Linked DNA regions of Macaca fascicularis. The protein of the gene in region 1 binds, or shares a complex with, the protein of each later gene. Links are inferred from orthologs where the notes say so. Each region holds a gene or a part of one and is shown on either strand. Other genes may lie near its edges. The genes, in order: NTSR1 and NTS.

The links.
Region 2: the proteins of NTSR1 (region 1) and NTS are in contact, whole or in part, in a crystal structure (PDB 4BUO), measured with the Rattus norvegicus proteins. The link is inferred for Macaca fascicularis from reciprocal best matches to the Homo sapiens genes NTSR1 and NTS. Residues at the interface, in NP_001102437.1 of Rattus norvegicus: Ser53, Asp54, Leu55, Asp56, Asn58, Phe128, His132, His133, Tyr146, Met208, Val224, Cys225, Thr226, Pro227, Ile238, Arg327, Arg328, Phe331, Cys332, Tyr333, Ile334, Ser335, Asp336, Trp339, Phe344, Tyr347, His348, Tyr351; in NP_001095851.1 of Rattus norvegicus: Arg157, Arg158, Pro159, Tyr160, Ile161, Leu162.

Annotation. Positions count from the first base shown.
Region 1 is NC_088384.1:118,771,506-118,776,005, forward strand, and holds the start of NTSR1 (neurotensin receptor type 1), read left to right. Parts: upstream 1-1,655; 5' UTR 1,656-2,164; coding exon 2,165-2,878; intron 2,879-4,500. UniProt on the Homo sapiens protein: G-protein coupled receptor for the tridecapeptide neurotensin (NTS). Signaling is effected via G proteins that activate a phosphatidylinositol-calcium second messenger system.
Region 2 is NC_088385.1:92,769,532-92,773,972, reverse strand, and holds the start of NTS (neurotensin/neuromedin N), read right to left. Parts: upstream 3,050-4,441; 5' UTR 2,941-3,049; coding exon 2,868-2,940; intron 672-2,867; coding exon 610-671; intron 1-609. UniProt on the Homo sapiens protein: Neurotensin may play an endocrine or paracrine role in the regulation of fat metabolism. It causes contraction of smooth muscle.

The DNA.
Region 1 (4,500 bases):
CTGCTGGCTTCTGAGTCCACTATCCTGGCTTCCAGCAAAGGGACCGCTGACATTTCCTTTGATGCCAGGATTTCTAAGCTGTGATGTTTGTGAGCTGCAGCTCCCTGACAACAGTATCAGGCTTCGGTTGAACAGAGAAGCCCAAAGCAGGGCGAGAACGGATGAATAAGCATGGAGTCCCACTGCCAGCCATCAGCTCAGGAGCCTTGAATTCTCCTAGCTGGGTGGGCCCAGGAGGGGGTTCCTCAGCCTCCCACTTCCCTCAACACCCTGCAACGCCTGCCCCAGCCTGCCCAGGTTTCCTGCTCCCAGCACAACAGCTGCAGCCAGCAACGTCCACAAAGGCCAGGCTGGTTCCCCAGCCCTGCACACACGCAGCAGCAGCTCTACCCAACCTCTCCCAGGGGTTCTGGGGAGGAGGGAGCAGGGGAGGGGACGGGGAGGGCCTAGAGAAGGGACAGTAGTGCCCTGGGGGCTCCTGGGCAACCCAGACATGCAGGGGACAAGCTTGTGCCTGGTCACCTATGCCAGTGCTACCAGTGCTATGCCAGTGCTACCAGTGCTATGCCAGTGCTACCAGTGCTATGCCAGTGCTACCAGGCGCTGCGGGGACAGGGAAAGGACAAGAATCTCGCTCTCACGTGGCTCCCGAGCCAGGGGCAGGGGCACCCTGTGAGGCGCTCCGAGGGAGGGAGTGTGCAAAGCCTGCAGGGCCTGTGAGGAGGCCCTGACGCGTGCTGTGGGGCTGCCCCTCCCAAATCCTGCTGGGGTGTGGGCTCTCAGGGTGACTTCTGATGACAAATCCAGGCAGTAATAAGGGACCCAGGGGATCACATCCCATAGCATCATGAGACCGGCCCAGGGTGCCAGGTGCGGGGCCCTGAGTGGGGAGGGTGCTGTTCTGGGCACCTGCTTTCCGCCCTCCCTCATTAACCCCTCCCTAGACTTTGATGAAACCATCTGTGGCTCCTGGCCTCTGCAGGACCCAGCCCCTCAGCTCCTCAGCCTCTGCAGGACCCAGCCCCTCAGCTCCTCAGCCTCTGCAGGTGTCCCTCGGTACTGCCTCACGCCCCTGCCCCAGGTGATAACTATGCCCTGAGCCCCCACCATTCCCACTGGGCATATCCCAGAAATACGCATTCACAGACCAGGCACGCCCATGACTGCAGCTAGATTTTAAAAGGAATCACAAGAAATGTAATCTCTAGTGGTCCTGGAGACCCCCTGGGCACCCAGCTTCTGGCACCCTGTGGACACCCAGGAGTAGGGGGGCGGCCCAACCAGCTGCGCAGCCGCCCAGCCCTGCCAGCGGGGAGCTTCCTCCCTCCCTGCCCTCCGGATACACCCTCACCCCCACTGAGCGAGCCCAGGGTTGGGGGGGGTGCATAGTTCCCTTACTAGCCGGAGCGAGAAATTGCGGAGAACAGGGAAAAGGGTGGCAGGAAGGGCCCGGTGCACGATACCCGCCGCACCCGCCCGGAATCCTGGTTCCCTGGAGCGCTCAACCCAGCCCGCCCTGCCCCGGGGAGCGCGAGGGGGCGACCCGCCAGGCTGCACCCGGGTGGGGCGGGGACGACAGCGGGGGCTGCCTCCCTCCTCCGCCGCCACCCCCAACTGCTGGGCGCGCCGCGCGGCCGCCGGCTTCGTGGAGACGCGCAGAGCCGGGAGGGCGCGGGCGCGGCGGGAAGTGTGCGGGGCTAGGGTGCGCGGAGAGCGCGAGGGAGGAGATTCGGAGCGAGGGAGGGGAGCGCGCCGGGGCAGCCGTGCGTGCATTCCTCCCGGCGCCACAAGCTCGCCCCGCGCAGCCCGAGCCAGGCTGGGCGCTGTCCTCGGGAGCCTGGGGAACCGCGCGATTTGGAGATCAGAGGCACCCGGAACCGGTGGCAAGCGCCGAGCCCGGAGACAGCCCGAGGAACCGCGGAGTCTGGAGCCAGGAGCCCGGAGCTGGGAGTCCGGAGCTGGGAGTCCGGAGGAGCGCGGAGCCCGGAGCTCGGGGCGGCGCGTCTGGGTCTGGCGCTTCCCGGCTGGACGGCGCGCCCGCTGGTCTTCGCCACGCGCCCTCCTCTGGGCTCCCGTTCATCGGTCCCCGACTGAGACGTGCCCAATCCGCCCGGACTTCCAGCCCCGGAGGCGCGGGACAGAGCCGCGGACCCCAGCGCCCACCATGCGCCTCAACAGCTCCACGCCGGGAACCCCGGGCACGCCGGCCGCCGACCCCTTCCAGCGGGCGCAGGCAGGACTGGAGGCGGGGCTGCTAGCCCCGGGCTTCAGCAACGCTTCGGGCAACGCGTCGGAGCGCGTCCTGGCGGCACCCAGCAGCGAGCTGGACGTGAACACCGACATCTACTCCAAGGTGCTGGTGACCGCCGTGTACCTGGCGCTCTTCGTGGTGGGCACCGTGGGCAACACGGTGACGGCGTTCACGCTGGCGCGGAAGAAGTCGCTGCAGAGTCTGCAGAGCACGGTGCATTACCACCTGGGCAGCCTGGCGCTGTCCGACCTGCTCACCCTGCTGCTGGCCATGCCGGTGGAGCTGTACAACTTCATCTGGGTGCACCACCCCTGGGCCTTCGGCGACGCGGGCTGCCGCGGCTACTACTTCCTGCGCGACGCCTGCACCTACGCCACGGCCCTCAACGTGGCCAGCCTGAGTGTGGAGCGCTACCTGGCCATCTGCCACCCCTTCAAGGCCAAGACCCTCATGTCCCGAAGCCGCACCAAGAAGTTCATCAGCGCCATCTGGCTCGCCTCGGCCCTGCTGGCGGTGCCCATGCTGTTCACCATGGGCGAGCAGAACCGCAGCGCCGACGGCCAGCACGCCGGTGGCCTGGTGTGCACCCCCACCATCCACACCGCCACTGTCAAAGTCGTCATACAGGTAAGCCTCAGTAACCAGCCCCGGGGCTCCCCTCTCCTTCACCCCAAAAGCAACGCCAGTGGTGTGCCTTCTGGGTAGGGAGTGGGAGAGAGGTCACAGAGACAGTCTACTCCTGTGAGGCTGCGAAGGCGGTTGGGGCAGCTTGGGTGCAGCTCCGGAGTTGCCAGGCTCAGCCCCTATCTTCTCCCCTCCTGTTGAGGGGATGGAGCCCCTGCCTGTGACCTCCCTGGGGTTGGTGGCTGGGCCTCCGACGTCTGTGAATTCCTTAAGTTCTAATGGAAACATGTGCGCTGGCACCTGCGTCTCCAAAGGAAGGGGTCCCTTTCATCAGCTTCTCAAAAGGCTTTGTGCCCCCAACAGGTGACGTCCTCTCCTCTGCAGAGAAGCCCCCAGACTGACTCTGCCAGTGCCTCCCAACTGCCTGCCCTGACCCAAACTGGGGAGTCAGAGCAGAACCTGATGCCATCTTGGGCTGGTTCCTAGTTTAGCCTCAGCTTTCCCATCTGTATGATGGGGTAGTCTTAGCATTGACCTCAGAAGGTAGAGCATTTGAGAGAGAATGTATGGGAAGTGTTTGCATGGCCCCCGACACATAGAAGCGCTCACAGGTACTATTACTGCTGGATGGTGGGGACGATGTTTCTGCTGGGAAGGTTGTGAGGCTCTGCGGGTGGTGGTGGTGTTGTGGTGAGGTGCGTAAAACTGGAGCCGAGTGACCAAGGGCCCCCCAAGGGTCTGAGCAAAGCGCCGTAGGAATGCAGGTGGGAAGCCCCCTTGGGAATCAGTTTGGCTGAGGTTCGTGGCTGGAGGGGAGGACTGATCAAACCAAAGTCCCGAGCCGGAGGTTGGTGTCCAGGGAGGAAGTCAGGGCTGGTCGGGCACCTTGGATGGCACCTTGGACACGAGCAGCCTTCGAGGTGTGGGGTTTCTTCCATTTCTGGTGGGCTAAGGAAGCCAGAGGGTGAAGGATCCAGGCAGAGTCGCCCACCTCTGCCCAGCTAGAGGGGCTGGGGTGGCTGGCTGTCCCCCTGGCTCCCGACACACCAGCATCGGCAGCCTCCCAGCTAAGCTTCTGTAGTTGCCTGGGCAGCCCTCATATGCCAGTGTGCCCGGTGGGGGTGGGGGCAGCAGTGCCGGGCAGGGCGTCACCTGGGCCCTAACTGACCCTCCACTGGCCACCACCCAGGTGGACTGGGGGGTGGGGGGTAGAACTGAGCTCCCAGTCTCCCCGGCTGCACGAAGAACTGGTGGCAACAGGTGTCTCCTCTGGGGGAGGCCCCTCCCACAGACACTGGTAGCAGGCAGTGAGTCAGGGCTGCTTTGCCTCTGCCGCAAGAGTCCCTGCCCTCCCCAGAGGCAGAAGTAGGCACGGCCCGTGGGGTAAACGCAGTGATAAGTGACCTCTCGCTCCCTTTGAGGCTTCATCTGCTCTCCCCAAGCTCCTGCCTTTGATCGGCATTGGCCAGGGGCGTGGAGGGGCCCCAGGGGCGACAGCCACCCAATCCTTCGGAAGGTGAGCAGTGGAGGGGTCAGTGCTGTCACTGCCCACCCAGGAGGTGTCCCCGCTCAGACCCCTGATCCTCCCGCTCCCCTGGCAAAAGGCCAGGAGCTCACCAGCCTCC
Region 2 (4,441 bases), on another chromosome or scaffold:
AATGGTAAATGTCTAGAAGACTATGAGCTGCATTTAAAAACAAGGAAACACAGGTAAGCAAGGTAAACTAATCCACTTGCTAAAGATAAAATATTTAATAAGTCACTGTTTCAGGATTAGATCTCAGTGCTCCTGCTTGCCAGTCCATTGCTCTCCCCTCTCTACTACATTTCTTTTGCAGGTTGTAATGAACTGTTATTTCTAATTTAAGGAAATAAAAAAACAACTTTTTATTTCCCCCAATATAATAAACAAAGGCAAAGAGCTCACTTTGTTTTCATTTAAACTGAGACCAATATACCTTTCATCATACCCAATGTAAAAGGCATGGAAACAAGTTCCTTTAAAAACATTTACAGGCACGTAAATATGTGTGGCAATTAATTAAAATTGCAAAATACTGATTGATAGAACTATAATTTCTTTAGCTGTCATATCAACACCTTTAACTTCTTTTAACTAAAAGAATTTTTTTTTTTCAAAAAGGAAATGCCTCTTAAGGAACTTTTAAATCTGGATGGGAAGTTATTACTAAAGGAAAAGGATACCATATTGATAATGAAAGTTCATATGTTCTTCAACCCAGAGTTAAAGAAAAGAAAAAGTTACCTTTGATGTATGCATGCTGGTCAATAAATCTGCTTCTAATGCTTTCATTTCCTCCTCTGAATCTGAGTAAAATCAAAATCAAGTTTACTATAATCACATATCATATAATTATATCATAATCTACAGATTTTAGGTTAATTTTAAAAAGTAGTCTTAGAGGTTAATGTCTTTCTTATGTATTTTCTTAAAAATAGTAATCTTAAAAAACAAATTTTAGGTATATTTTAGCATAATAGGAAGCTAAAATAGTAGAAGCACTTCTAAGAAAATAAGCATATGATTATTTGTTCAGACAGCTGTTGATGACTTCGAGTTGTTTAAACTTTGAATTTCAGATTTTTAAAATGTGATTATATTGTATAACACATATTTTACCAAATATGCTAGAGTAGTTTATTTCTTACCAGCCATAGTTTACCTATATAGAAAATATGCATATTAACATTTAAAAACACAACATAATGAAGATTATACAAGAGACTTTTTCAAGACAAAACCAAAGGGAATTGCTTACTGATAATTTTAGAATAATACAGATACTGAGATTTACTTAACTTGAGATGCTTTTTTACAAAACATACGTTGAAAGAATTGTATTTGTACTTTAAGTAAGAATTCGGAATTATGTATCCTTAATTTTATCATAGGTGTTTAAGAAAATTGTTTAAAGCACAAGTAGAGCTATTCAACAATACATGTACAATAGTATTGAAAATGGGTCTCTGGATTTTTTTTAAAACTCTATCCAAGTTTCTGTTAATGAATATTTTACAGAGAAGGAAAATTTAGAAAATAGTGTACGGTAATAAAAATCAAGTTAAAAATGACTCTATCTTTCTTGTACTTCACACTCAGTAAAAAGAAATGTCAGAATCGGAGAAACTATTGGCTTAATTTTACCTAGAACCTAAATTATACAAGAGATCTTCTCTCCTTATTTGTTAGAGACATAATCTGTTTTAGGAATTTATGAACAATGTATACTCAAATCCTCATAAGTTTTGCATTATTACAACAAGTAGTTTCAAGTTAATCATCACAGTGCTTAATCAATAACCCAGTTTTTCTTCCAGAAGTATGTGAATCTTTAATCTCATATAACTTTCAGATAAAATCACAATTGTAGAAAAGTTTGTTTTTTCTCATAAGATTTGAAAAGTAGAAGCTGAAAGTTATGTTCTGATGATTAAAATAAATTTAAAATTTTGCATAAATCACTTTTATATCTTCTTAGATTTTAATGTCATAATTTAAATCAAATGATAGCATGAGTTTGAGTTAAACATTTCAATGTCATATTTATGATACATAAAAGCACGGAGCAGATTAAATTATTTTTGCTGCATTTACTTCCTAAGGTGTTCTTTTCCCTTTGAAGTGGTCATTCAAATATTTCTTAAATATTAAGTACAGCCTTTTGCAATAGTTGTAATATTTCATGTTATACCTTTCAATTTAAATCTTATTTTCAAAGTGTGTTATTTATAGATATTTAGGACTATATAACTTCTCCTTTCACACCACATGCAAAACACTCTGAAGTCAAATCATTTCCATCAATATAAGAATACCAATTCTCCAACTGTATTTTGTATTAACTTAAATGGCATGGAAAAAATGCCAAACAGTTATATTAATAGCATACTTATTAGACTATGCAAACTGTATTCTCAAAAAGATCTGGAATATTTTTGTATTTTTCTAGAAATGAAAATCTACAAATAATGCTTCATTCATTTTTCAGTAAGCATCCATTTGCACTTTATGTGTTATCTTAACACAAACAATTAAGAAAATAATATGGGGACTATTACAAGGGCATGAGGGCCACCGTTTCCTAAGAGATTGAATGAGGATGAGAGTAAAACATTTTAAATGGAATGGGATTTAATGATGGGTTTGCAGGTTGACAGCCACTGTCTCTGTACTTCTCATTAGATAATGATCAGCCTAATTGAAAGTTTTGTAAGGTTTTTTTTTTTTTTTTTTTTTTTTCCTCTAGTGGTTGCATTCCAAAGGGGGTCATGCAGTGTTTCCTTGAAATCCCTTTTATTGCTTTGTAGATTTTAAAAGGGAAAATGCAGCTCTCAGTAATCATAAAGGCAGAGAAAAAGATATTCAGTTTCTGTCACTAAAAGGTAAATCCTGAATAAAAGGGAGCAACTCTTCTCCCTCGATACATGAACATAAGTAGCAACACACTGCAAAAGAGAAAAAAGAAATCACTTCAGGGAGTTGTGAAATTCTGTTTTGCTTACCTGAGCACAGACTCCAGGAACTGAAAGCCAGGAGTAGCATGCATACAAGCTGGATTTTCATTCCTGCCATCATCTTTCAGCCTTCTAACAAGCCAATTCCATAAAAGTCAGAAGCACACTGAAGGGGGCTCTCTCTAGCACTTCCTCTTGCCTTCAGCTGGCTTTGAAAGTGAGTGAACTATGAGAGGTGCTCTGGCCATTCCCCTATATATATAAGCAGGAGGATGATGTCATTGATTGTACAGGCATTATCTTTGCAGGATGTGCCCTATCTTCACCTCTATCCTTTCCCCCTTCGCCCTGCTTTCTCCTCCCCCTTTCCTTTGTCCCCCTTTGCTCTCCTCCCCCATTTCTGAACCTTGAGTGAAAGTGACGATCTTCCCTAATTGCTGCTGCTGCTGCTTTGGATTTCTGACGCACAGAAGGAGTCATTCAACTGCACTGCTATGTACAGCATACTGACAGAGAACCCCCAGTATCAACCTTTTCCCACTTCTCATTCCCCCACTGCAAAAGTCATTTTGATTTTGTGAAATATGAGATCTGTTATTTCTAATTTTTAAGTAAAATCTCAAGGATGAATGCATTAAATCAGTGATTCTTTAGGCTTGAAAGTTCTTGAAGAGTTAGGGGCTTTTCTGGTAATTCAAACTTCTGAGCAAATGTTTAGTGGTTCCAAAACTAATACAGGTTTTAAATAATCCACGCTAGAATAAGATGGAATATAGTCAGAGAATCAGTTATAAAAATTAAGCAAATAAATTTAGAGAATAGAAACAAAGCCAATAAAAAGAAATAATAGATCCAGGGAATAAGATATTATTTCCCAACAAATCAAAAATATTTTATTGTAAGTAATGAGAGATGACTGAACTATGTGTGCTGACTTTGGTTGAATGTATTAGAAAAACAATTTCATGTTTATACAATCCAGCTCTAAATTACTTAAATGTTAGCACATAAAAATTTGTATTGTTGTATCACTGACTTTTTTTTTCTGTACATTATCTCTTTTTGTGCCTATATTTTTCTGCTCTTTTTGAATTCATTCTTGATGCCATGTCTCATTCTTTGTATAATTCCCTTCTCAACTGTTTTTACTATTGCATAAGCTTACTTTCCCTGTTATAATACTCTTTTCATCATAAAAATGAGATTGTATTTTTGGCAAGGAGACAATCCTAAATAACCACCGTTCACCAAAGTCACTTTTCTATGATAGTCTTCGTGTTTTTAATGGGTTACACTGATACCCATTCTTTGTCTGAGTTCTGAAAGAAAATTGCTCAAAATGCCTTTTAGAGTAAAGCTTTCTTCTTGTAGTAAGCGTTTCAAGATACATGGGGTGATTTGACAAGTCAATGCTGTTAGAGATGTGAATATTTGAATGTAAAGTTGTCTGAGCATTGTTTAATTTTTAAATAAATCAATCATATAGTAACAGTTGAGAAACAAATAGGATTGATGCCTATAGATAACTGATTTATGTTATACAATCTATGAGTTTAACTTTTTCACCTTTACCCTAAACTTAAGGAAAGAGATTAATTCCAAGCATTTAATAATTACTCAGA